Saccharomyces cerevisiae S288C: one gene and its partner. Changing the gene in region 2 together with the main gene of any one other region gives a genetic interaction. Each region holds a gene or a part of one and is shown on either strand. Other genes may lie near its edges. The genes, in order: KAP120 and MEF1.

The links.
Region 1: mutations in MEF1 (region 2) and KAP120 together harm fitness less than expected from each alone (positive genetic interaction), as found in Saccharomyces cerevisiae (one large-scale study listed by BioGRID).

What each region holds. Positions count from the first base shown.
Region 1 is NC_001148.4:298,707-316,986, reverse strand, and holds KAP120 (karyopherin KAP120), read right to left. Parts: upstream 3,600-18,280; coding exon 501-3,599; downstream 1-500. Other genes in the region: SPC29 (Spc29p), read right to left, coding at 1-232; NAN1 (Nan1p), read right to left, coding at 4,087-6,777; HHO1 (histone H1), read left to right, coding at 7,383-8,159; TBF1 (Tbf1p), read left to right, coding at 8,766-10,454; TATA-binding protein-associated factor TAF14, read right to left, coding at 10,850-11,575, 11,681-11,689; SPO19 (Spo19p), read right to left, coding at 11,929-12,600; 60S ribosomal protein uL18 RPL5, read right to left, coding at 12,973-13,866; COX11 (Cox11p), read right to left, coding at 14,369-15,271; gluconeogenesis transcription factor RDS2, read left to right, coding at 15,759-17,099; ODC1 (mitochondrial 2-oxodicarboxylate carrier), read left to right, coding at 17,484-18,280. UniProt on the Saccharomyces cerevisiae protein: Functions in nuclear protein import as nuclear transport receptor. Serves as receptor for nuclear localization signals (NLS) in cargo substrates.
Region 2 is NC_001144.5:268,446-275,663, reverse strand, and holds MEF1 (Mef1p), read left to right. Parts: upstream 1-1,748; coding exon 1,749-4,034; downstream 4,035-7,218. Other genes in the region: RGR1 (Rgr1p), read left to right, coding at 1-286; D-xylulose reductase XYL2, read left to right, coding at 453-1,523; FYV7 (Fyv7p), read right to left, coding at 4,201-4,656; PET309 (Pet309p), read left to right, coding at 4,954-7,218. UniProt on the Saccharomyces cerevisiae protein: Mitochondrial GTPase that catalyzes the GTP-dependent ribosomal translocation step during translation elongation.

The DNA of each region.
Region 1 (18,280 bases), on a different chromosome or scaffold from region 2:
GGCTCTTCACTTTCCTATCGTCTGATTTACCTGTGGGAGACAATCTATGTAATGGCGAACTCATCCTTTCCTGTGCTCTATAGTGCTTCTTGTTTCCCAATTCTGACGTGTTTGAACTGAAGTTCTCTTCTCGCAACTTTTTTAAGGCTTCTTCATGCTCTTTTCTTACTCTGTTTAGAGTATCGTCTTGAAACTTTTTACTGGCACTGTTTCCAAAGTTACTATAATCCATTATTCCTACAAGCCACTTTGGATCTTTGGTTAAACTTTTACAAAATTGGAAGAAGGTGATTTTATTCCGTGAGACTTGGTTTACTTCATTATATTACATGAACACTTTTCGCGTTTGTTTTTGTATTACGCAAAAAGCAAACAAAAAAAACTGCGACATCTAATTAGTAGCAAAATAAAAGTATAGAATGCGCGATCAAAAGATACCACTGTAATGTTGTTAGTCGAACTATATACAATTTTTTACTTTTATTTAGTACTTATTACTATCATGGACGAGCCTCTTGAGGCTGGATGGATAAAAACATTTGTAAGTTCTCTAGTAAACTAGGGTTAATAGTCTTCAAAAATTCTTGGTACCTTTCTACTCCTAAATGTGATTCTAGATATTCCATTGATTGGGAAATAAAATCTTTTAAACTAATGTTATGCACTGGATCATTGTTTTTGCATAATTGATGATATCTTAATTGTTCGGCAGTTAAAGGATGGAATGCAATTGATTGCTCTGTAACAATATCATTCAAGTGGTATTTTTCGCAATCCCCACGATTAGTTTCATTAATTTCTTCGAGCATTTCGATCCATAAAGATGCGATGGATGAAAACTCAGTCAAAATAGGAACTAAACCAGTCCTTAGTAAACTTGAAATACCTAATATGTGAACTTTTTTGAATTTAGGATCAAAGATATCTCTAAAACATACTATCCATCCGGTTAAAAGCTTGTTTACAACGGAATCATACGTCTGATCCTTAGACACAATTTTTCTTATTGATTCCGGCATGCGTGCATTTTCGTTAGAAGTTGGTAGATTGTCATGATATGTAGCTAAAAAAGTCATTAAGGCGTCTGGATTCACGTAGGATATTCTAGCGATGATTTGAATGATTTGCGAGCATAAATAAGATGAAGGAGCTTCTTCCAGGAAAATGGCATCGAATAATGCTGATAATACTCCGGTTTCATAGAATTTTTGCAATAACAGATTTTCGTAATCCGACTCATTGGATAATATCAAAATTTCCCAGATTTCTAAAACCAACTGAAATGAATCTTCCCTTAACTTTAAAAGATATTTAGACATTTGTTTAAAAATATCTTGAAATGTGTTGTTAGAGAAAAAATCCACAGGATTCAGAATCAGAGCATAACTTTTGATAATTTCAAGTAAAGTTGGGAGAATCTCTGTGTGTGTCTCAATACCATACTTTAGAAATGGCACCAATTCAACGAACTTATCGTCAAACTCTTGATCGTGGGATGAAAAATTTTGAAGAAGCATGCCCCATAGTTCATACCCGTCTTCGCTTAACAACTGATATTGCATAGAAGAGGGATCACAGGCTAATGCAACCACAGGTATGGCGATATCCCACGTTAAATGTGACTGTGATCCCAAAGATGATACCAAATTTCTCAATAACCTTAACAATGCGTTTGCCAAAATAGCCTCACTAGCATTATTTGTTGCTATTTCCCAAAGGTTTGGTATGATTTGCAAAATTTCGACTAATAGATCCCTGCTAATTAAAGGTTTTGTTTGAATTATGATATCGCTCAAGGTGTTTAAAACATATAGCCTTGTCTCGGTTAACGACACAGATGGTAAAATTTTCCTCAACAATAAATGAACATTTTCAGTTAAAAATGGCTGAAAAGTATCCTTGTTGAAGTTCCAGTCATCAACCATGGTTCTGACAGTCTGGACTGTGGTTAACAAAACAACTTTGTCGTCTTCATCTGTCAGGAAGTTTGTAAATAACTTGTAACATAAACTTTTAGATTCTTCCGAACACTTCACAGTAGACCATTCGTTTATAATTAAAGCAACTCTTCTTCTGATAATCCTTAATTCGTCGCCTGATATGTTTGTATTTGTAGCTTCTGGTAAAAAAACCTGAATTAGTAACCTGTCAAAATCTACCATTTCACTAACAGCGGATGCACTTAATTGGAAACTTGCATAAATTGCGTCTTTCCTTAAAAAATCGTCTAATGAGTTTGATAGCTTTGAAGCATCATTTTCAATTTTCTTTAACAGGTAGGGAACCAACAGCTCAGAGAAAGTATTCATTAAGTCTTGAAAAACGTTCTCTGCACATGGTCTGATTTGATATTCGTAACTCGTGGCCATTTGTTCGTTTATCCATTCTTCTGGATCCATAAACCAATTTTCTAATTCAGTTGGTCTTAACCTCAAGTACCATTCCATTAAAGTGTCAACCAACCTTGTTATCAAATTCTCATTCAGAAATTCTGTGTTGATTTTGTTGATAGAAGCATCTATGGTTAGTTTATCACTTCTTGCTTTTAACGTAATTGCCCCCTTTTTGTGAATGAAATTAATGACCCTTTTCAAAATTAAAAGCCCTCTAATAGCAGTCTGTTCCCAAAAGTCCCCCGTGACATCAGAATTCTCTCTATATACTTTAGGGGCCTTATCGAAAATTAGCCTAGTATAAGTGATTAGAATTTGCGTAGAGCATGGCAGTAATATGAAATTAGCCGGAGAGCCAGTGACTAAATTGAAATATAACTTTCCTAGGCATTTGATAAACTTTTCGTAAATATCAAACTTTTTGAAGTTTTCATGGTTTGAAATTAACATCTCAAAGTGTGAAACGGATAGTTTAATAAAATCGCAAACAGACTGATCGGTTTGAGGGCGGTCGTATCCTTCACAAATTATCCTTCTGAGCACTTTCAAAGCTAGGTAAGAAACTTGTAAACTGGAAAGATCCTCGTAGTTGAGATTGGAGGATGTCGTCCATTCTTCAAATGATTGTAAATAAATCCTGACAATTAGTGGTAATATCAAAGGAACTTTACTTTGCATAGCGGGTCGGCACCTTCCTATTCTCGCAGTACCTAATACTTTAACGATTTGATTTATATGCATCAATATATTGTAAATCTTAACTGAATCTTTTCTGATGATCTCATCGTTCAATAGGTTTTCTAGATCCTCAAATAAGGTTGGCCACTCTACGGGAAAATCTAGCCTTGCAATCCTTGCGGAAGCTTGGGCATTCTGAATACAAAGTTGATTATTCTGTTCATCGATCATTTCAAAAAGACGACCTCTTATCGAGGCTTTTTCATCTTTAGGTATAGCGTTAATTCTAGTGGATCTCCAGTATTTATCCACGCCGTTCTTAAATTGAATTACCGCCAACCATCTAATTTGTAAAGAATTAGATAAATTAAGGTAGATTGACTGTAATAAGTAATGAAATCCCGCTTGAGTCTCCCATTGTCTTAGTTGTTGTTCGGCTAATTTTTGAACATCTGACCTAATATGTTGTGGGTTACTTGCTTGTTCAAGTACTTGAACCAAGTTTAACTCGTTAAGAGACGAGGCCATTTTTGTTTAACGCCTTTTAAAATTTGATTCGGTTGACAGTTGAGGCAAGCTAAAAAGTTAATAGTTTATGGTGCCTCCTTTTTCTTAAACACAACACCTACCAAGAAGTTTGACAAATATTAAGCTACCCAATTGTTTGAAACTTCAATCTTCTTACATGGAAATGTACGCTATAGAAGTGTAATTCAAAAAAAAAGAGGCGGCTTATTTGGAGAGATTATTTTATTCATCTTGACTGAGGATGCTCATCAAACAAAAATCGTATGAAGAGATTTTTTGTATATTATGATAGTTCTATTAACATTAATGATTGTGAAGCTTTTTACGAAGTGTCTGTTCCTATTAACCAATGCATTCTCTTCCCTTCCCTTGTAACTAAGTTATACAGATATTTTTGCTTTCGGTTTGCTTTATAAACATATATATATATATATATATATATATACCTTTATATCTATTTTGGATATCCAATGGAAGAACCCTAAAGCTATGTTAATACTTTCATCACACGATCAAAAAATGTATCCATTTGCACGTTTTGAATGTTGTCAAACATGCTCGTAAAACTATTCATATTGACTAGCTTATCTTTCTTTTCGCCATTTATAAATTCCAAAGCGATATCTTCTTCATCTTCGTCGTTATCATTGGTATTTTTATCTCTAGTGTCACTTTTTTTGCCCCTAGACGACAGTTTATGCAATTGTTCTGCAAAAATATCGCTATTGGATGCCGAAGTTGTGATGGTGTTACTTACCAGGCCATCCAATATTCCTTCGTTATTAACTTCATCAGATAGTTGAGTATTCACAGTGGTTCCGACAACACCTAGTGTTGATTCTATGTCCAAAAATATGAAATCAGTATCATAATTCCAACCAATCCAAGATATGTATTCATGATGCGTAAAATTACCCAATTTTGTAGATAAGTCAGAATCGAATATAATAATACGGGATTTGTAATTGATAGTTGGTACGCCATCGAGATCAGTTAGTTGTTGATTTATAACCAGGGCAATGTTGCCTGTCCTTTCGTCACAAGTAATAAGCCTATCCATGTGACCATTTTTATACACTCCGTTAACAAACGGATATAAGTCAAAACTATTTATGACTTGACCCCGCAATAAGTTGATGGCGTTTAATGTAGTCCTGGTGGCCACTATTAAATTTGTGTCATTAATCAACTTGACGGTTTGGATTTCAGAGTCTAACGTGAACTCACTGACCGTCTTTGTATTTTCCAATGATTCAAACTTTTTAAAAGTGTCGAAATCTAAAATTTGCAACTTGTCATCGAAACCATGGAATATTAGAGACCCGTCTTGAGACCAAGCTAAAGAAACGGAGTTACTGAAATGATTAAAGTTTGGTAAAGAAATTTTTTTCAAGCACCAGTTGCTCTCATGAGAGTCGAAGGACCAAAATTTCAGTCCACCGTTGTTGTCAGCCGTTAAACAGCCTTGACTATTATTAACTGATCTTGGTGAAGGCAATATCTTGGTAATTGGGACACTTATCCCGTGTGGATTTATTACTTTCGTTTTCAAATTCCAATTTGTCTCATTATCGTTTTTGGTCCAAAATTTCAAGATATGAGTTAAGTCCTTGGAAGATAAGAGGTCATTTGGCGGATACTCAATTTCGTATGTAATCATCCATTGCCCATCTTTGGTGAACTTCAAATCAGTTATTATTGGGTCTTGTAAATTCAGTTCAAATCTAACTTTACCCATAGAATTGTTGACACCTGATGTTAAATACTGATAGTTAACTTGCTCATTTTTATAGAAGTCAAAAATTTGAACAGCAGAAATGTGTGGGAAATACAAGTTCTTGTTAATAGGGTTTATTTCTACATTAGTGGTGAAATCTTGTCTTCTCGATTTAATTAGTTTTCTAGATTGTTTCTTCTTAGAGTGATTGAGAGAGGTAATTGAGTTGGAGTTCTTGGTATTCATGGCCGAGATTGGTTGCTGAATGTGTTTTATGGTGCTATTGAACACCGGTAATGGCCCGTTAATCGACAATTTGGAGGTCAAATCAGAAGCATTCAAAAGTAAAAATTGGTAGTCAGAATTTGAATTGTTTTCAGTCATTTGTAGGATTAAAGAGTAGTAGTTCCCTTGAGGTCCCAATACCTGACAGTCGATTATAATACCGTTCAAACGAGGCAGGAATTGTTGAGAGTTTGTTTCCAATTGCCATAAACTCATAACTTTTTCCCAACCACCAGATAGCAAATAGGATCCATCGTGAGAGAATGAGAGTGACAGCACAGAGTCTATATGCCATTTGAGCAGTCTTATTTGTAGATCGGCCAGGCTTACGATACTTATAACTCCGGAGGCAAATCCAACAGCCAGTTGTTGACCCATATTGTCTATGGCCATGCTAGAAACGTACCTTGTGTTATAGGATAGGGATTGAGTCTGTGAAGAAAGGATGGAACCGAGGGGAAAGCTTAAATTTACAGAATCATCAAAAAGCGAAACAACTGAGATGGATTTGTGTTCGTGATCTTTTGTTGAGACGTCTTTGCACATATGCGCTAGCAGTTTACCATTGGAAGAAATATTTGACAAGATAACGTTGTGCCATTCTGCCTGATGAGCCACTTCAAATTGCTTTTTAGCATCGTCAAAGGTTAATGCATATAACCTGTACGATTGCAAAGAGTTATGTGCCTTTTGACTAGGGTCCTTGAACGTTGTCAAAATTCTATAGTTGCCCTCGCTATGGAAAACATTTGCAAGCTTTTCATCTGCCAAAGAGATTTTGAAATGCTTAGGGGACTCGACCAGCTTCCCCTTATAATTTAAAACAATTACATGACCATTATTGGTGAATACGGTAATCAGATGAGCGTCTTCTTGTTGCGGAACGGTTATATCACCCAGCAGAATCTTTACAATCGATTCATTATTCTCTTCTTCTTGCAGAAATATTCCGGATAACAAGGAGTTATTTGCAAACTTTAGAGTCTTAACACATTGTCTAGTTTCCACAGAATACACCTTGATCTGATTGTTAAAGGGTATAATATAGTTTCGTTGGTCTTGTGATAGGCGGGCGATATTCTTATTGCCGGTTACTGAACTGAGATTATTCAAAGCGGGTTTCCCACCAGATACGACTGACAGTTTATACTGTTCGATACCTAGGGATTGCGTCATTCTGGTGATCAGCTAAAATGGTTCTGGTTTGTACTTGTAGTTCCTGTGACGACAGCCAATATAACTGATATGTAAACTGTGCCAAAAATCATTTGTTCGAAAAATTTCATCTCATCTCATCGCTAGGAAAAAGAAAGGAAAATTTTTTTCTAGTTTCTCCTTCTCACATTTTACATCACTTACCACGTACCCTAAGCAGTAGGCCGCCTTAACCCTGACGTGCTATTTTGTTACCCTACTGATGTGACCGCTAGATTTTGACATGCCAAGCAATACAAATCTCCAAGAAGTTGCTGTTTGCTTTGATGAAATGCTATTCTGTGTCAAAAATGCCCCCTCCTAGGGACTTGCGTCTAGGTAAAAGCTATTCTGCACAATAACAGGTTTGATGGATGATTTTTGTTTGTTCTCTTTGGCTTTTCATTTTCGCGTCGCGTTTTCTGCTGTTGTTTGTTTTTTGTGTGGAAAAGCGGGCGGTCAAAGTTTTTTGTTTATCTGCCTTTATTTAAAGAGGAGGAGCAACTATAGATTTGGGGAGTTGTTATTTATGGGCACCTGATAATGCTTGGCAGCGAGGGAAGCAATTATAATACAACTAAAGCAACATGGCACCCAAGAAATCCACTACCAAGACCACAAGTAAGGGCAAGAAGCCTGCAACCAGCAAAGGCAAGGAGAAATCAACTTCCAAGGCCGCTATCAAGAAAACCACGGCAAAAAAGGAGGAAGCTTCCTCCAAGAGTTACAGGGAGTTGATCATTGAAGGGCTCACGGCTTTGAAGGAACGTAAGGGATCCAGTCGTCCGGCACTCAAGAAGTTTATCAAGGAAAACTACCCGATCGTCGGATCCGCAAGCAACTTTGATTTGTACTTCAACAATGCCATAAAGAAGGGTGTGGAGGCCGGCGATTTTGAACAGCCAAAGGGACCCGCTGGTGCTGTGAAACTGGCCAAGAAGAAATCTCCAGAAGTAAAGAAAGAAAAAGAGGTCAGTCCAAAACCCAAGCAAGCCGCCACTTCTGTGAGTGCAACCGCATCAAAAGCGAAAGCCGCATCCACGAAGCTAGCGCCAAAGAAAGTAGTGAAAAAAAAATCGCCTACTGTTACCGCCAAGAAGGCCTCTTCGCCTTCTTCATTGACCTACAAGGAAATGATCCTTAAAAGCATGCCTCAACTTAATGACGGTAAGGGCTCCAGCCGTATCGTTTTAAAGAAGTATGTCAAGGACACTTTCTCCTCCAAGTTGAAAACAAGCTCAAATTTTGACTATCTGTTCAATAGCGCTATCAAGAAATGTGTTGAAAACGGCGAGTTAGTGCAACCAAAGGGCCCCTCCGGCATTATTAAACTAAACAAGAAGAAGGTCAAACTCTCCACGTAAAAAGTGAATATCCAAACGAGAATGTCAATGGTGATAGCAATACTATCAAACCTATTTTCTTTCTTCATTTTTGTGTCCCATCACTATTAGTATTTTGTATTATTTCTAAATTTTTTTCTCTCTAATTTTCAATCTTATTCAAGTGTTTGTTGGCGGTACTGTAAATTTTCATTTTTTAATCTCTCCCTTCTCTATTTGTTACTTATTCGGTAAATATCTCCTTTATGATTTTATTCAAATTCCATTCTTAACTAACTAACTATACTGTTTATAAATTTCTCTTCTCTTATATATGCAAGGTACAGTGTGTAAAATTAATTATTGTATTTGAAGAAAAGGCTTTAAAATCTGAACATTTGAAGCCCTAATATTCTGCACCGTGCCCTATTAATTTTCGCCCCTTTCCGTAGAAGCCCGGCGAGACCTCATTCCGACTAATTTTCCTCAATGCTTTGCCCTTCCTTGTAAACATTATAATAAACAATCATCTCAATATTGGCGTTTTGCTCCTATATCCTTGCCAACATTTAAGATTGTGGCTGTCCCATCTGCGACAGAAATCATTTTACATTAGTTTTTCTTTACTCACTTCTTTCCCCATTTGTCATGGATTCGCAAGTGCCCAATAATAACGAAAGCTTAAACCGCTTCAATGACATCATCCAAAGCCTGCCTGCAAGAACTAGGTTGACCATATGCTCATTATGTCTGCTGGACAATATCTCCACTCAACTACTGAGGTTTCTTATCCTTAATGCCAACTCTCCCAATATTATAGCGGTTTTGACGGACCAGACGGCTTTCCTAAGCTCAGGCGAAACAGAAATTTTTCAAACGTTAGTCAAGCTCTTTAAGCAGATCAGAATGATTTACCACACCAGATCTCCGTTACTGTCTGTTCACGACGTGGCGCCTGGTTTATGGTTTCCCAACTCCCCTCCCCCCCTTATATTGAGAGGCCACGAAGCGTTTATTATTACTGCCATAAGAAAGGCGAATCTGCTAACATTTCTATTGACGTCGCTGAACTGCCTTAATTACGGGTTTGAGCTGCTACAGTCGATATTTCTCGATATTTTCTGTCCAAATACAAACACTGTCGGTAACAACTCCCTGGAACAAAGCGGAAAGTTTTTGAAATCGCAGGCTATCCTATATCTTGATCTGAAAACACAGGCTTACATTGCCGGCTTGAAAGAGTTTCAGGACGAGACGAACGAAATTTCTTTAGAAAAGAAACAAGAGCTACTAGACTTAATCTTCCCATCCAATCTGGCTGATATTCTCGTGCAGAGAAGAACCGGCGATTCTGGAGACATTACACTTTTGACTCCATCGGAGAAGGACTTCGTCGAAAGGTGCGATCGTCGGAGAGAAAATTTAAAGATCGTCCAAGATTTTAACTCTCTGACCCAGAGCTACGAATGGGCTCAATTTATCAGAGAGTTGCTGGATTATTGTAATAAAAATATGGGTCTCATCATATGGGGCAGAAAGGGTCGCGGAAAATCACCATTATATGACTTTGATGTCAACGAGTTTGATCCTCAAGTACTCTTTTCTACAGGGACCAGGACCGTAGAATTCATGGACGACCAAAATCAGCCAAGCAGTGCGTCTGCTTTTTTGTCAACTGCTCGTCCGAATCATTACAGCACACATACACCTACCACAGATGTGTCTTCCAAAAACCCCGCTATCACACAATCCATTGTGGATGCCGCTGTTGCGGCCTCGATGAGCAACAGCAGCTCTGGTCCTCATTCCTCTCATAACAACAGCAGTAACAGCAACAATAATGGTAGTATCGGATTAAGAAAACCAAAGGCGAAAAGAACTTGGTCCAAAGAGGAAGAAGAAGCATTAGTGGAAGGCCTGAAAGAGGTTGGCCCATCGTGGTCTAAGATTCTAGATTTATATGGTCCCGGTGGTAAAATCACGGAAAATTTGAAGAACAGGACGCAGGTACAACTGAAAGATAAAGCCCGTAATTGGAAATTACAATACTTGAAGAGTGGCAAACCATTGCCTGACTATTTGATAAAAGTGACCGGTAACTTGGAGAAAATCTACAAGGCAAAGAAAAAATTCTCTCAATCTCCAAATTCGTCAACTATTATGGAACAAAATTTATCTCAGCATCCTTCATCAGCTGCATCTGCTACTGAAGACACTCAAACTCATCAAGAGGATTCACATGGGCAAAATAGTGATAATATGCCATCTAACGGACTTTTTGGCAATAGTACATCGGACAATACAGGTTTTGATCCTCATTTAGAAGATGGGATGTAGCGCGCTTAAATGAACAGACTTCTAATTTTCTATTGAACCACTCACTATTAAAAATACTTTGATGGGTTGTTAACTTCGCATTGTTTGGTTCCCTAGGTATATTCTTTTGACGTGGTCACCCTATCTTCTAGCAACCTGGTCCCCTCGTGTTTTTCTTTTTATTCTTTTTTCTTTTCCATTTTCTATTACATTGGAATGTATATATTTGATGTTCTCATTTTCTAAAATGAAAACTGTTGTATAATTACTTAAAATCCAAGATAAAAATGTGTTGTAATAATATGTGTTTGGTAAGGTGTCGCGGTTATTGGAATAAAGTTTATATAAGACAAAATATCAACGTGTTTTATTTATACAAACATAAAAGCGCGCATTTAACGCCCTTTTACCTTTTATTACTCGGTATTTTTCTTAACGTAGTCCCATAGACTTTTCAATAATCCCTCAGGTAAACTATACAAGTCAATTATAAATTCACCCTCTTCAACATTATTCGTCACGTTCATTTCTGGTGTTTTATTGTCGGTAACCATTTGAACAACACCAACCAGGTCATCTTCATTTAGTTTAGTCAATCCGAACGCTAATTTTTCTAGGTCCACGCTCCCTTTCACGGTAGATGCACTGCCCGTCTTAGCTCTCTTCGCCTTTGGTTCTGCAGTTGTGTTCGTGGTAGTCCTTCTTTTCCCAATGGTGCCTGTATTGGCCGTCGTTTCTTCAGTAGATCCACTTTTCGCAAGTTCTTCTGTTAAAAGTGGTTTATTGAGAGGAATCTGGATAACGTGCTCCACTTCATAACTCTCTTGTAGAAAGTTCAAATCGTGTGGTATTTTCCGCTCACCTGCTTTTTCCAACAAGAAAACGCTTATATCTAAAGGAAATCCACCCCAACCTTGTTCCTCAATTCTAAATGGTGGGTCAGTAAATGTCCTGTTAGGATTGGCGAAAGTTGGGTGCAAGTGGTAAATAACTTTGTCAAAAATTGTAGCGGGAATTTCTTTTCCTTCATCATCCAATAATACAATTTCTATACTCCATTGACGAACAGGAAAATTCTCTACTGGTGGCACTTCTGGCAGAATGTGTTGTTGGGTTTTTATACGGATGGTTCTTTTTACTGTCTGTTGGTTATTTAATGATGAGAATAGAGTCGTAAGTTAGTATTATTTTAGCTAACAAAACAAAAAGCATATGGGTGGGTGGCTAAAAGAGATTAACGAACATACAGCTACCATGATTAGTTATCTAATATCAGTCAGCTCCGAGGTCACGAAGGAGAAAAATTACGGTATATTCTTTTTTTTTCACCGCACTACAGCCTTGACGTGTAATACTGTAACAAGTTCAAACTTCAAGTTTTTTGTCAGTACTTTGCTAAAGAGCTTTCTCGTCTTGAGTGATTTTAAAAAGTGACAGTAAATAAAACAGGAAAGCTAGCCAACAATATTTCTTATTTAAATAAAATAATGATCTATTAATACGCCTGTATAAATAATAAAATGGTTAAAAGTACCGCAAGAGCCACTGTTGTAGGAGTCAAAAAGTTGCTCGCATTATCGTAGTCCTCATTCAATGATGAAATATTCGAATAAGGTGTAGAAGAAGCAACGTAGGAGTGAGAAGTCACGAAAGGCCGAATAGTAGTCGTTGATTCAGTTGTACTTGCATTGATAAGGTTTCCATCGTAAGTATTAACAATATTCTTTTCTTCGACTACTTCATATATATTTGAACCAAGCTTACCCAAATCTTCAGCTTGGGCATTGAAGTCATAAATTAAATCCTCTTCTTCTTCTTCTTCAAGACCGCCTTCAGAACTTCTTTCAAAATCATCAAATTCGTATTCGTTGATATACTCTAGTAGCATATCTGATTTTGACTTCATTTTCGCGTACTCGTTGAAGTCTATAAACTCAAGAGTGTCCGGTAAATCAGTAAGAACAACATCTCTTGTGCTTGCCAACTGTTCCAAAGTCTTCTTGTCAATAGCTTTCTTATCGATTTCAATCACTATAGGGTCTTCATTGAAGTATAAAATTGAGTCACCTCCTAGCTCTTCAGTGGAAAGGCCTACATTACTTCGCTCGCCAAAAACAGTAGAACATAAAATACTTTGTGCAGCAACTATTAATATTTGTTTCTTCATTGATAGTATAGCGTGATCTTATATTTGTTAGTGATGATTTTATGGCACGGACTTAGTTAGAATGCCATTCTAGAGAAGAAATCTTCATATGTTCGTTACATAAAGAGAATAAAATTACCTAAAATTGGATGATAACTTTTATAAAATCAACTACTTTTTGTGGCATTTTTTTCTTTTCTCTTTTCATCATGATTTGAGTGTACTATTACTGCAGTGCAAAAAAAGGGTAGTAATGAGGCGGTACGCAAATCGTAAAAAAAATACAAATGTAGTAAGTGGATGATGTAAATGAGTTAACTAAAAATGAATACAAAGGTTATGTGAAGATAGCTTTATTTAAAATATCTCAAAATGACGTTATATATCCATAATTTATTGTTGACCAGCCAAAGCAGCGATCTTGGCAGCAACACGAGCAGCTCTTTCTTCCTTGGACAATTTGGTTTGTCTGTACTTCTTGGATTCAGCAGCGTATTGTTCCTTGGTGAATTTCTTTTCAGTTGGCTTGAAAGCTGGGTCAGCTCTGATAGCTTCGTGAGCAGAAGTGTAGATGTCTTCCAAAGAGTCAGCATCAATGTCGTCAGCTAGGTAACCCTTGAATAATTCAGAGAATCTTTCTTCATCATCGTCAGCTAATTCTTCCATGTATTGGGAAACGTGGCCACCAAAGATGTAAGATCTCAATAATTCTGGGTCAATTTCTTCGGTTTCGAAGTCCCAACCTGGGAATCTGTTTTCGGAGTGAGGAACGTACAAACCACCGTCAGAAGCACCCTTTAGAGCACCGAAAACTCTGGCACCAGTGGTGGTTCTTTGCAAACCAATATCCAAGAAGACCTTGAATGGACGTGGACCATCTTCAACAGCTTCGGTCAATTCGTATTCACCTTCAACTTCTTCAACACCCTTGTAAGTTTCGTCCAAACCCAACTTTTGCAAGGTTCTTCTGGCGATCAACAAACCAGTAGCGTAAGCAGCAGCCCAGTTGGTCAAACCGTGGGTAATACCGTATCTTGGCAATTCGTGGGAGTAGGCAGCAGCTAAGACGACATCACCAGTGATGGTAGAAGAGATGATTTGACAGATGATATCCTTGTTAGTGAATCTAACAACCAATCTGTACTTTGGAGTGTTGTACTTGGCCTTGTGTTGGGTGACCAATCTCTTTCTTTGGTAGTAATCAGTCTTACCTTCTCTTCTTCTTCTGAAAGGAGTTTGGAAACGAGAGGAGTAAGCAGAGGACTTAGCGTCTTTTTGGAAAGCCATTGTTGCTGAGATTTGTGACGGTGTCTTTTATTTTGAAGTGTAGGAGAAAACAAAAGTAAAGGTTGGCCTCTGAAATATACTACATCGGATATGTCTACAAACTTTTCTATTTATTTTTTTTTTTTTCAAAGCATCTGGCGACTACTGGGATCTGCGACGCTAAGTGAAGCCTCTGAAATTTTCGGATGTGAGCGATTCCGCATTGAAAGCCACCAGAAAAAAAAAAAAGAAAAAAAAGAGAATATTTCAATAATTTTTTTTGCTTTATGGGTGTTTTAGGATGTCTGGATGTACAAGTTAGCTGTCTAGAAAAGCTGTATCACATGAACAAGAATCTTCATTTCTTCATTTCTATGACGGCTAGAAAACAAAGATTTGATGATTACAAGAAGTTCGGTGCCGTGATTATATGCTTAAAACATCTCAATATGAAGTCATGGTGTTTTACTTAATTCAAAAGCATAACAGTATTTATGTACATTGAATGACTTTGTATTTACAATTAATTTGAGTTGTCTTTCCTTGTGTCTATAACTTCTGGGGATAAAATAGCAGCATTAGCCAATGACGCTGCTTTTTCATCTGCATTCATCTCAGGCTCCTTTTTAGAGTCACTTACAGCTGTACCATCACCATAATGAGCTCTGAAGAATGTGTAATGTAAAATAATATCATCGATATTTCGCATCGCTGGATCGCTAGCAAAATCTGGATCGATAAAAAAGAAGACAGGCATATCTATTTCTTCACCGGCAGCTAGCTTTTGTTCTTCAAAGCAAAAACATTGGATTTTATTAAAGTATTGAGCTGCTTCACCAGGCGCTATGCTATAAGTAGCCATACCAATAATATCTTTATCGCTGTAATTCTTGGCTTTATAAAAAGCGAGGGCTGTTTCACCAGGCAGAACGTAAACCTCACGTTGTTGAGGAACGAATTTCCACGGTAAAATTTGTGATACTTCACTGGTGAATGAGATACGAATTCTCTTCTCAGTATCTACAGGAATGAGTTTATCGTCGGTAAATTTTCTTCTATCTGTTATGGGAATCCCACCAAAACCAGTACGAGCACAAATGGCTCTATAGAGTGGTACCGCTGCATATGCCAAACCCAAGAAAAGTACCGCGACGCTGCTGAAATAAAATGCAACCGTACGATCTTTAAATTTTCTCTCCCTTGCTCTTTTCAACTCTCGCAATTGCTGGATTTCATTTCTAGTAAGTTTTGAAATATCAAATGTATGTTTTGGTTGTTCGCTGTTCACTGAATAACTTCTCAATGCAACGTTTTTGCATATGGCCCGCCTTAGAGCTAGCGCATGAGGTGCCAACCATGAGTCGGATCTAAGAAAAGTTCCTAACAGTGGAACCTTAGATCTAACAATGGGACATATTCTTATCATGACAATATTAGGGAATTTTGGCTGCAATATTATTTGTTTGTGCGCTGAAGTGCTATTTCACCTGCGACAGGAATATTATTACTTTAAAGAAGATACTTAAGCGTTCGCTGCCCCTTTAGACTCTTCACTGTTCTTTGATTTGTATTGGTTAGTATCTATGTCCTTAAAAGATATATCATGTTTCATCCGTCAAAGGGCATTGGTTAGGGAAAGGGTTTTCCAATGGTTACGCTGTTTTTCCTACAGATCCGCTCCTTAGATGGGGAGAATAATGTTTTGGAATGGCAGAAAACAAGAAAAAGCAAAACAAAGAGTACGAAGGAAAATGAAAAATAGTTGAATATTAGAAAAAAGGATGAGGTCTCTGGGATGGAAGAAGAAAGTAATTCTTATGAGAAAATTTGCGGGAGTTCTTTGCCAGTGAGATAAAGTTTTTTTTAATTTTAATCAACACAAAATACACATATTTATATAAACTGACGAAATAATGTCAGCAAACAGTGGTGTAAAACGAGCCAGTAAGGCTTTTAAAACATGTTTATTTTGTAAACGGTCACATGTTGTATGTGATAAGCAACGTCCATGTTCTAGGTGCGTCAAGAGGGATATTGCCCATTTATGCAGGGAAGATGATATTGCGGTTCCAAATGAGATGCCATCACAGCACGAAAGTTCTCCGAATGATAATAATATACAGGGCAAATATGCAAATAAAGCACACACTGGAATTCCGTCTGACTATCAGAATGAACCAGTCAATAAAAGTGGATCCACATATGGAGAGGAACTGTCACCGAAACTAGACTCCTCTCTTGTAAATGATACAACCAGCTTGCTGCTTCCGCAACAACCTGTATTTGTGTCCGAGAATGTTGGTTCGGAATTCAGTTCTTTGAATGAATTTCTTTCTATGCTAGAAAATCCTCTATTGACTCAAACATCACTAAGTTCCAGCAGTGCGAGCAATGTTCATTTGGAAAATGGCTCACAAACCACACAATCGCCATTAGAGTACCAAAACGACAATCGTAGGGATGAAATAGGAGTGGCAAGACAAGAAAATAGGTCGCCTACTATTATGTCAGGTTCTTCCAATAGTATCTCGAAAGGGGATAAACAAGATCAAGAAAAGGAAGAGTCTCGAATTCTAGCGAATGCAAACGAAAACAGTGCACCGACACCGAAGGAACAATTCTTTTTAACAGCGGCGGATCCGTCAACAGAGATGACACCAGAACACCGGCTGAAGTTGGTCATAAATGCGAAGCTTGAAGCAGGATTATTGAAGCCGTATAATTATGCCAAGGGGTATGCAAGACTACAAGACTACATGGACAAATATATGAATCAGTCTTCCAAGCAAAGGATTCTGAAACCACTATCCACCATTAGACCGGCGTTTAGAACCATTGCGCGTTCATTGAAGGATGTTGACTTAGTTTTAGTGGAGGAGAGCTTCGAGAGGATGTTATTATCTTATGATCGTGTTTTCACCTCTATGAGCATGCCAGCGTGCTTGTGTAGGCGTACCGGTGAGATTTACAGAGCCAATAAAGAGTTTGCTTCACTGGTTGACTGCACAGTCGATGATTTACGCGATGGAAAGCTTGCGATCTACGAGTTGATGACAGAAGAAAGCGCTGTGAATTTCTGGGAAAAATACGGGTCCATAGCGTTTGATAAGGGTCAGAAGGCTGTTTTAACAAGTTGTAGTCTTCGAACCAAAGATGGAATCCGCAAACGGCCATGCTGTTTTAGTTTCACTATCAGAAGGGATAGGTACAACATCCCAATTTGCATCGTCGGGAATTTCATCCCTTTGTCATAAGCATAAGTAATACATAGTAGGTAATTGGTATTTCCAGCGTCATTAAAAAGCAAAGTAACGGGTTTACTTTTTCCTCAAGCCGCTGGCCCGAGCAGTTACTTGAAATAGCCGTATTACTACGAGCAATACGAAGACCTTTTTCTACCAGCATTTGTTTTTTTTCAAATCATTCCCATTATTACCCCAGGATCTTTTCATAATGCGGCGACCAGAGATAGGGAAAAAAACTGCGAACTGGCTGAATCTGATTTGGCGAAGGGCAGATTCTCGGGTATTTCTGTGAGGGTGACCGCCGTTGATATATATCAGTGACTTTTGGGAACCTTTATCTCATTTATTCTCAAGATAGAACTGTAACGAGGGTGAAAGAAAAAGAACTGTAAGATGACATCTATAGATAATAGACCTTTGCCGTTCATATACCAGTTCACAGCCGGTGCCATTGCCGGCGTCTCGGAGCTATTGGTGATGTATCCATTGGACGTGGTGAAGACAAGAATGCAATTACAAGTGACAACCAAAGGTCATCCCGCTGTTGTTGCAGCGAAAGCAGCAGTAGATCACTACACGGGCGTGATGGATTGTCTTACAAAAATTGTGAAGAAGGAAGGATTTTCGCATCTTTACAAGGGTATCACATCGCCTATATTAATGGAGGCTCCGAAAAGAGCAATTAAGTTCTCCGGAAACGATACATTCCAAACGTTTTATAAAAAGATTTTCCCCACGCCCAATGGGGAGATGACTCAAAAAATCGCCATATACAGTGGTGCGTCCGCTGGCGCCGTGGAAGCCTTTGTCGTCGCGCCTTTTGAACTAGTGAAGATTAGATTACAGGATGTGAATTCACAGTTCAAGACACCCATTGAAGTTGTAAAGAATAGTGTTGTGAAAGGTGGTGTTTTGTCACTTTTCAATGGGTTGGAAGCCACTATCTGGAGACACGTTCTTTGGAATGCCGGTTATTTCGGTATAATATTCCAAATTCGGAAGCTTTTGCCGGCGGCTAAAACAAGCACGGAAAAGACCAGAAATGATTTGATCGCAGGTGCTATTGGTGGCACTGTCGGGTGCTTGTTGAATACACCATTTGACGTGGTAAAATCTAGGATCCAAAGAAGTTCCGGGCCGCTGAGGAAGTACAACTGGTCCCTGCCTTCAGTGCTGTTAGTTTACCGTGA
Region 2 (7,218 bases):
TGTTTTGCATAACGGCCGTGATAAAATTCAATTTCACATTCATTTTGCAGACGTAGCACACATAACCACGAAATCTCCCGCCTATCCAATGATGCATCAAGTGAGAAATCAAGTATTTATGCTGGATACTAAGAGATTAGGTACCCCAGAATCTGTCAAACCCGCAAACGCATCACATGCCATTCGTTTGGGCAATGGCGTGGCTTGCGATCCCAGTGAGATAGAGCCTATCCTAATGGAAATCCATAATATCCTCAAAGTGGACTCGAACTCAAGTTCATCTTAGAGCGAATAAAATGTCACCGGCGCTACTATCCCTTAGGAGATTGTAACCCCTCTCCTGAATTAATTCAAAATAAAATTGAAAACTGTATAAGTATATACATAAATATATCCATACACACTAAAAAGACATATTCATACTGCCTTGAGGATAGAGAACACCATTGAGCATGACTGACTTAACTACACAAGAAGCTATTGTTCTAGAGCGACCTGGTAAAATCACCCTAACTAATGTCAGCATCCCAAAGATTTCAGATCCTAACGAAGTAATCATCCAGATCAAGGCGACAGGAATATGCGGGTCAGATATCCATTACTATACCCATGGAAGAATAGCCAATTACGTGGTAGAATCACCAATGGTGCTGGGACATGAATCATCAGGAATAGTGGCCCTCATAGGTGAGAACGTCAAGACACTTAAAGTAGGAGATAGGGTGGCACTTGAGCCCGGAATACCTGACAGGTTTTCACCGGAGATGAAAGAGGGCAGATACAACCTGGACCCCAATTTAAAATTTGCTGCGACACCTCCCTTTGATGGGACCTTGACAAAGTATTATAAGACCATGAAAGATTTCGTCTATAAACTTCCTGATGATGTGTCATTCGAGGAAGGAGCACTAATAGAGCCATTATCAGTGGCAATCCATGCTAATAAATTAGCAAAGATCAAGTTTGGAGCCCGTTGCGTCGTCTTTGGAGCTGGGCCCATAGGTTTGCTAGCCGGGAAAGTAGCCAGTGTCTTTGGTGCTGCAGATGTTGTTTTTGTAGATCTATTAGAAAACAAGCTGGAAACGGCTAGGCAGTTTGGTGCCACCCACATCGTCAACTCAGGTGATCTCCCACATGGCGTTACTGTAGATAGTGTTATAAAAAAAGCAATCGGCAAGAAAGGTGCTGACGTTGTGTTTGAATGTTCTGGTGCAGAGCCTTGCGTTCGAGCAGGCATCGAAGTCTGTAAGGCAGGTGGAACGATCGTTCAAGTTGGAATGGGACAAGAGGAAATACAATTTCCCATCTCGATCATTCCAACAAAAGAACTGACATTCCAAGGCTGTTTCCGATACTGTCAAGGTGATTATAGTGACTCCATCGAGCTAGTCTCTAGCAGAAAACTCTCGCTTAAACCATTCATTACACATCGCTATAGCTTTAAGGATGCTGTCGAGGCATTCGAAGAAACAAGCCACCACCCGTTAAATAATATCAAGACGATCATTGAGGGCCCGGAATGAAGGAAAGAAAATGTAACTTTTGGCATCCAAGATGCACAATACATTTGATTTTTTTTATATGTCTTTTATATATATATATATTAATATGATAACTTTGCATTATTATTGTGGGGATGGAACTTCACAAGCGGCCGAAATTTCCAAGATGAAAATATCTAAAAAACGAGATTTAATAAAGGAGATTGAAACGGAAGAAGGTAGAAAGCACTGCAATATATCACCAATATGAGTGTCCAGAAAATGATGTGGGTGCCTCGAAAAATGGTTGGAGGTAGAATACCCTTTTTCACATGTTCAAAAGTTTTTTCAGGTTTCTCGAGAAGGTCTTTTCATGAGAGTCCACTTGCTCGTTCTACATATGAAGAAGAAAAAGTTTTGGTGGATGAAATCAAACAAAAACTTACTCCAGACGATATTGGAAGATGTAATAAATTGCGTAACATAGGTATATCTGCTCATATTGACTCCGGAAAAACTACTTTCACTGAACGTGTTCTGTACTATACAAAAAGAATCAAAGCCATTCATGAGGTTCGTGGTAGGGATAATGTTGGAGCCAAGATGGATTCTATGGATCTTGAAAGGGAAAAGGGTATTACTATTCAGTCTGCCGCTACTTACTGCTCTTGGGATAAAGAGGGCAAAAACTATCATTTCAACTTGATCGACACTCCAGGTCATATTGATTTCACTATCGAAGTGGAGCGTGCTCTTAGAGTACTAGACGGTGCAGTTCTTGTTGTTTGTGCTGTTTCAGGTGTTCAATCCCAAACTGTGACCGTGGATCGTCAAATGCGTAGATATAATGTTCCAAGAGTAACTTTCATCAACAAAATGGATCGTATGGGTTCAGATCCCTTCCGTGCAATAGAACAACTTAATTCGAAACTAAAAATACCTGCTGCTGCTGTACAAATTCCTATCGGATCGGAATCAAGCTTATCTGGTGTCGTTGATTTGATTAATAGAGTTGCTATTTACAACAAGGGTGATAATGGTGAAATTATAGAAAAAGGGCCAGTGCCTGAAAATTTGAAGCCATTAATGGAGGAAAAAAGACAACTTTTGATCGAAACACTTGCTGATGTGGATGATGAAATGGCAGAAATGTTTTTGGAAGAAAAGGAGCCTACCACGCAACAAATTAAAGATGCTATTCGCAGATCTACAATTGCTAGGTCTTTTACACCAGTTTTGATGGGATCCGCACTGGCAAATACTGGTATTCAGCCCGTTTTGGACGCTATTGTAGACTACTTACCTAATCCCTCTGAAGTGTTGAATACAGCTCTAGATGTGAGCAACAACGAAGCCAAGGTTAACTTAGTTCCTGCGGTGCAACAGCCATTTGTTGGATTGGCATTCAAATTGGAAGAAGGCAAATATGGTCAATTGACTTATGTTCGCGTATATCAGGGGCGTTTAAGAAAAGGTAATTACATTACAAATGTAAAGACTGGTAAAAAAGTGAAGGTTGCAAGATTGGTCAGGATGCATTCTAGTGAGATGGAAGATGTTGATGAAGTTGGCTCAGGTGAAATTTGCGCTACTTTTGGTATTGACTGTGCTTCTGGAGATACATTCACTGATGGTAGCGTTCAATACTCTATGTCATCCATGTATGTTCCAGATGCTGTTGTCTCGTTATCGATTACGCCAAATTCAAAGGACGCATCGAATTTTTCGAAGGCTTTGAACAGATTTCAAAAGGAAGACCCTACATTCAGAGTGAAGTTCGATCCTGAATCTAAAGAAACAATTATTTCTGGGATGGGTGAATTGCATCTGGAGATTTACGTTGAAAGAATGAGACGTGAATATAATGTGGACTGTGTCACGGGTAAACCGCAGGTTTCCTATAGAGAATCTATCACCATCCCGGCAGATTTTGATTATACACATAAAAAACAATCTGGTGGCGCTGGTCAATATGGTAGAGTTATCGGTACCTTATCTCCCGTGGATGACATTACCAAAGGCAACATATTCGAGACCGCTATTGTTGGTGGCCGTATACCGGACAAGTATTTGGCTGCATGTGGTAAGGGTTTTGAAGAAGTATGTGAAAAGGGACCATTGATCGGTCATCGTGTTTTGGATGTTAAAATGCTAATCAATGATGGTGCTATTCATGCCGTGGATTCTAATGAATTATCATTCAAAACAGCTACTATGTCAGCCTTCCGTGACGCCTTCCTGAGGGCACAGCCGGTGATCATGGAACCTATCATGAATGTTTCAGTAACATCGCCAAACGAGTTTCAAGGTAACGTCATCGGTTTATTGAATAAATTACAAGCAGTAATACAGGATACCGAAAATGGTCATGATGAATTTACATTAAAAGCAGAATGTGCCTTGAGCACGATGTTCGGTTTCGCCACCTCATTAAGAGCCTCGACTCAAGGTAAAGGTGAGTTTTCATTAGAGTTTAGTCATTACGCTCCAACAGCGCCCCATGTTCAAAAAGAATTGATATCTGAGTTCCAAAAGAAGCAAGCGAAGAAATAGTCAAGTCCTCATGGGCAAAACAGTCTTGTAAATAACAAATTCCAATAAAAAGGAATTAACAAAAGGCAGGAAATAAAATTAATATACACACTAATTAAGTAAATTTAAATAAAAAGATCTTTCTGTAAATACACGAATGAAAAGAAATTTTGAAGAATATCATTATCTAGGAGGTATAAGTATCATCCGTCTTAATTTTATCCAAAAGATCCTCTATCTTAGGGCCCATCAAGGGCTGGCCTGTCCTTGTTCTTTGAGTCAATTTCTTCTTTCTATCTTCTCTCCTCTGAAATTTTTCCTTCGAAACTCTGATTCTTTCCAATTGCTCGTTTCTTTGCTTGTTTAATTCATCTTTTTGCATTCTCTTTCTTTGTTTCTTGATCTCCTTCTTCTCGTCTAGTTTCTTCTTTCCCTCTATTGCCCTGGCTTCCTTAATCTTCCTTACAGATTCTTTTGCCACGGTTTTTGGTTCCTTTTCTGGTACGGCATACCCTTCATCTTTTAAAGCTTTAAGGTATTCCTTTCTCAGTCTAGTTTTCTTTGTAATACTTCTTTGGATCTCCTTAACCTTATACTCCCTCGTAAACTTCTTTCTATTTTGATTTTGCTTGGCTGTACCCATATTGATTTTGCTCAGTTGCTTACTTGACCACCTTCCTGTATCATTCTTGTGAAAGCACTTTTAATACTATCGCGATGAGGTTTGATTTTGAAATTTTTCATTGTTTGAAGGAAAAGTAACTTTTCGGGCCAATAGAGAAATAAAAATAAAAAATCATGTAGTGTAAGTTAAAGTGGGATTTCTAGGTGACGCTAACGCAGCCTCGATACCCAGGAAAGAGGCCGCAATAGTGTACAAAGCTTCGAATTTAAGTGATTAAGGGTGTTGGAGTATACTGAAACACGCTTTTTGGCCATTATGAAAAGGTGTGCTCCTGCCGTATTAAGAAATTATAATTATAAGAAGGGTATATGGAGTACCGGCGTACCTGATCATATAAGGAAGCTGCTTCGAGATAAATCGACGTCACCATTATGCTCACAGGATGAGAGAAACCTGGTCTCATATTTTATGGCGCGCGGAAGTGTTCCTCTAAAGTCGGTTGGCAGTGGATTAACAAAGAAAGCAACAACATCAATAACAAGTAATTCAGCTACCACAACATTTGAACGACAGTACCTTATAAAGTATCTTTATCGGCACCAGGCCTATGGGAACGTTATAAAAATTGCACAGAAGTTTCTTTATACCACTATTGGTTCACAAAGATTGTTAAAACAGGATGCCTCATTACCTGAATTGAAAAAGTTCCTTCTCTCTTTATTGATTTTACAAAGAGGTATTCAATTAGATCAGGCAATCTCTGATATCATACAACGGTTTCTATTAACACAAAAGACAATGGTGATAGACCTCATTAACTCGATTTTCTCTAGGATGGTTATAATGAATATGCATGAAGAAGCTGTATATAAATGGGTCAAATGGATGAAACTAGTGAATGGACATTGTGAATTTACGAATTATATGGAGAACAAGATAGTTTTGAGAAACTTTTTATCATTCATGAGGCAATCAAATGTTCGCCCCGATTATTTATCTTATTTGAAAGCAATTCAGCTAACGCAAGGGCCCGCAATAGCGTCTCAATTTGCAACTACGTTGTTGTTCTTATTAACTTATATTAGGAAATTTTCTTCTGCAGAAGCAGTTTGGAATTACAAGTGCGAACATAACCTGCCGATAGTGAGTTCTGACCTGACGTGTATTCTAAAGACGTATTGTCACATGCAGAAGTTTAATTTGGTTTCGTCAACATATTGGAAATACCCTGATGCTCAGCACGACCAAAACCAATTTGATTATCTTTTGGTGGCTCATTCTAGGCTGCATAATTGGGACGCCTTACAACAACAGTTCAATGCTCTTTTCGGTATCGGTAAGCTACCTTCCATACAACATTATGGTATTTTGATGTATACTATGGCCAGAATTGGTGAATTGGATAGTGTCAATAAACTATATACACAGTTATTGAGGAGAGGTATGATACCGACATACGCTGTTTTACAATCTTTACTATATGCACATTATAAAGTCGGAGATTTCGCAGCCTGTTTTAGCCACTTCGAACTATTCAAGAAATACGACATAACGCCTTCAACAGCAACGCATACCATAATGCTTAAAGTGTATCGTGGTTTAAATGACCTTGATGGTGCGTTTAGGATATTAAAAAGACTAAGCGAGGATCCTAGCGTGGAAATCACGGAGGGGCACTTTGCTTTATTGATACAAATGTGTTGCAAAACTACGAACCATTTAATCGCTCAAGAATTATTCAACCTTATGACTGAACATTATAATATCCAACACACTGGAAAAAGTATCTCTGCATTGATGGATGTATATATTGAGAGTAACAGGCCAACAGAGGCAATAGCATTATTTGAAAAACATTCAAAGAATTTATCTTGGAGAGATGGTCTAATTTCAGTGTATAACAAAGCCATCAAAGCTTATATTGGTTTACGAAATGCCAACAAGTGTGAAGAACTTTTCGACAAGATCACAACCTCAAAACTGGCTGTAAACAGTGAATTTTACAAGATGATGATAAAATTTTTAGTTACACTGAACGAAGATTGCGAAACGGCATTGAGCATCATAGATCAACTAATAAAACATTCTGTAATCAAGGTGGACGCTACACATTTTGAAATAATAATGGAGGCATATGACAAAGAGGGTTATCGTGACGGTATAATTAACTTGTACAAGACAATGTCACAGAATAAGGTACCAGCGAATTCCAAAATTTTATATTATATATTGAAGGCCGTTGCCAAAAAAAGCCTACAAAATAATGAGGAAATCAAGGAAACGATTAATATGGTAGAAGACATCATGGAAAATGCTGCCAATGGAACTCTCGACGTTACGTATAACAAACTGCATCCCTCGGTCATGGCATGGCCAATGAGAATGATTGTGAAACATGATAGCCCACAGCGGGCTTTAGAGTTATACAACCGGTACAATGAGCTTTTCTTCAAAAAGCATGATTGGATATCAAATAATAATAAATTTGTGATGATGAGATCATTGTTGGTATTACTAGCTCAAATTGAACAATGGAAAGATTTCGAAACACTTTTCGCTAAATACATGGATCGTATTGAA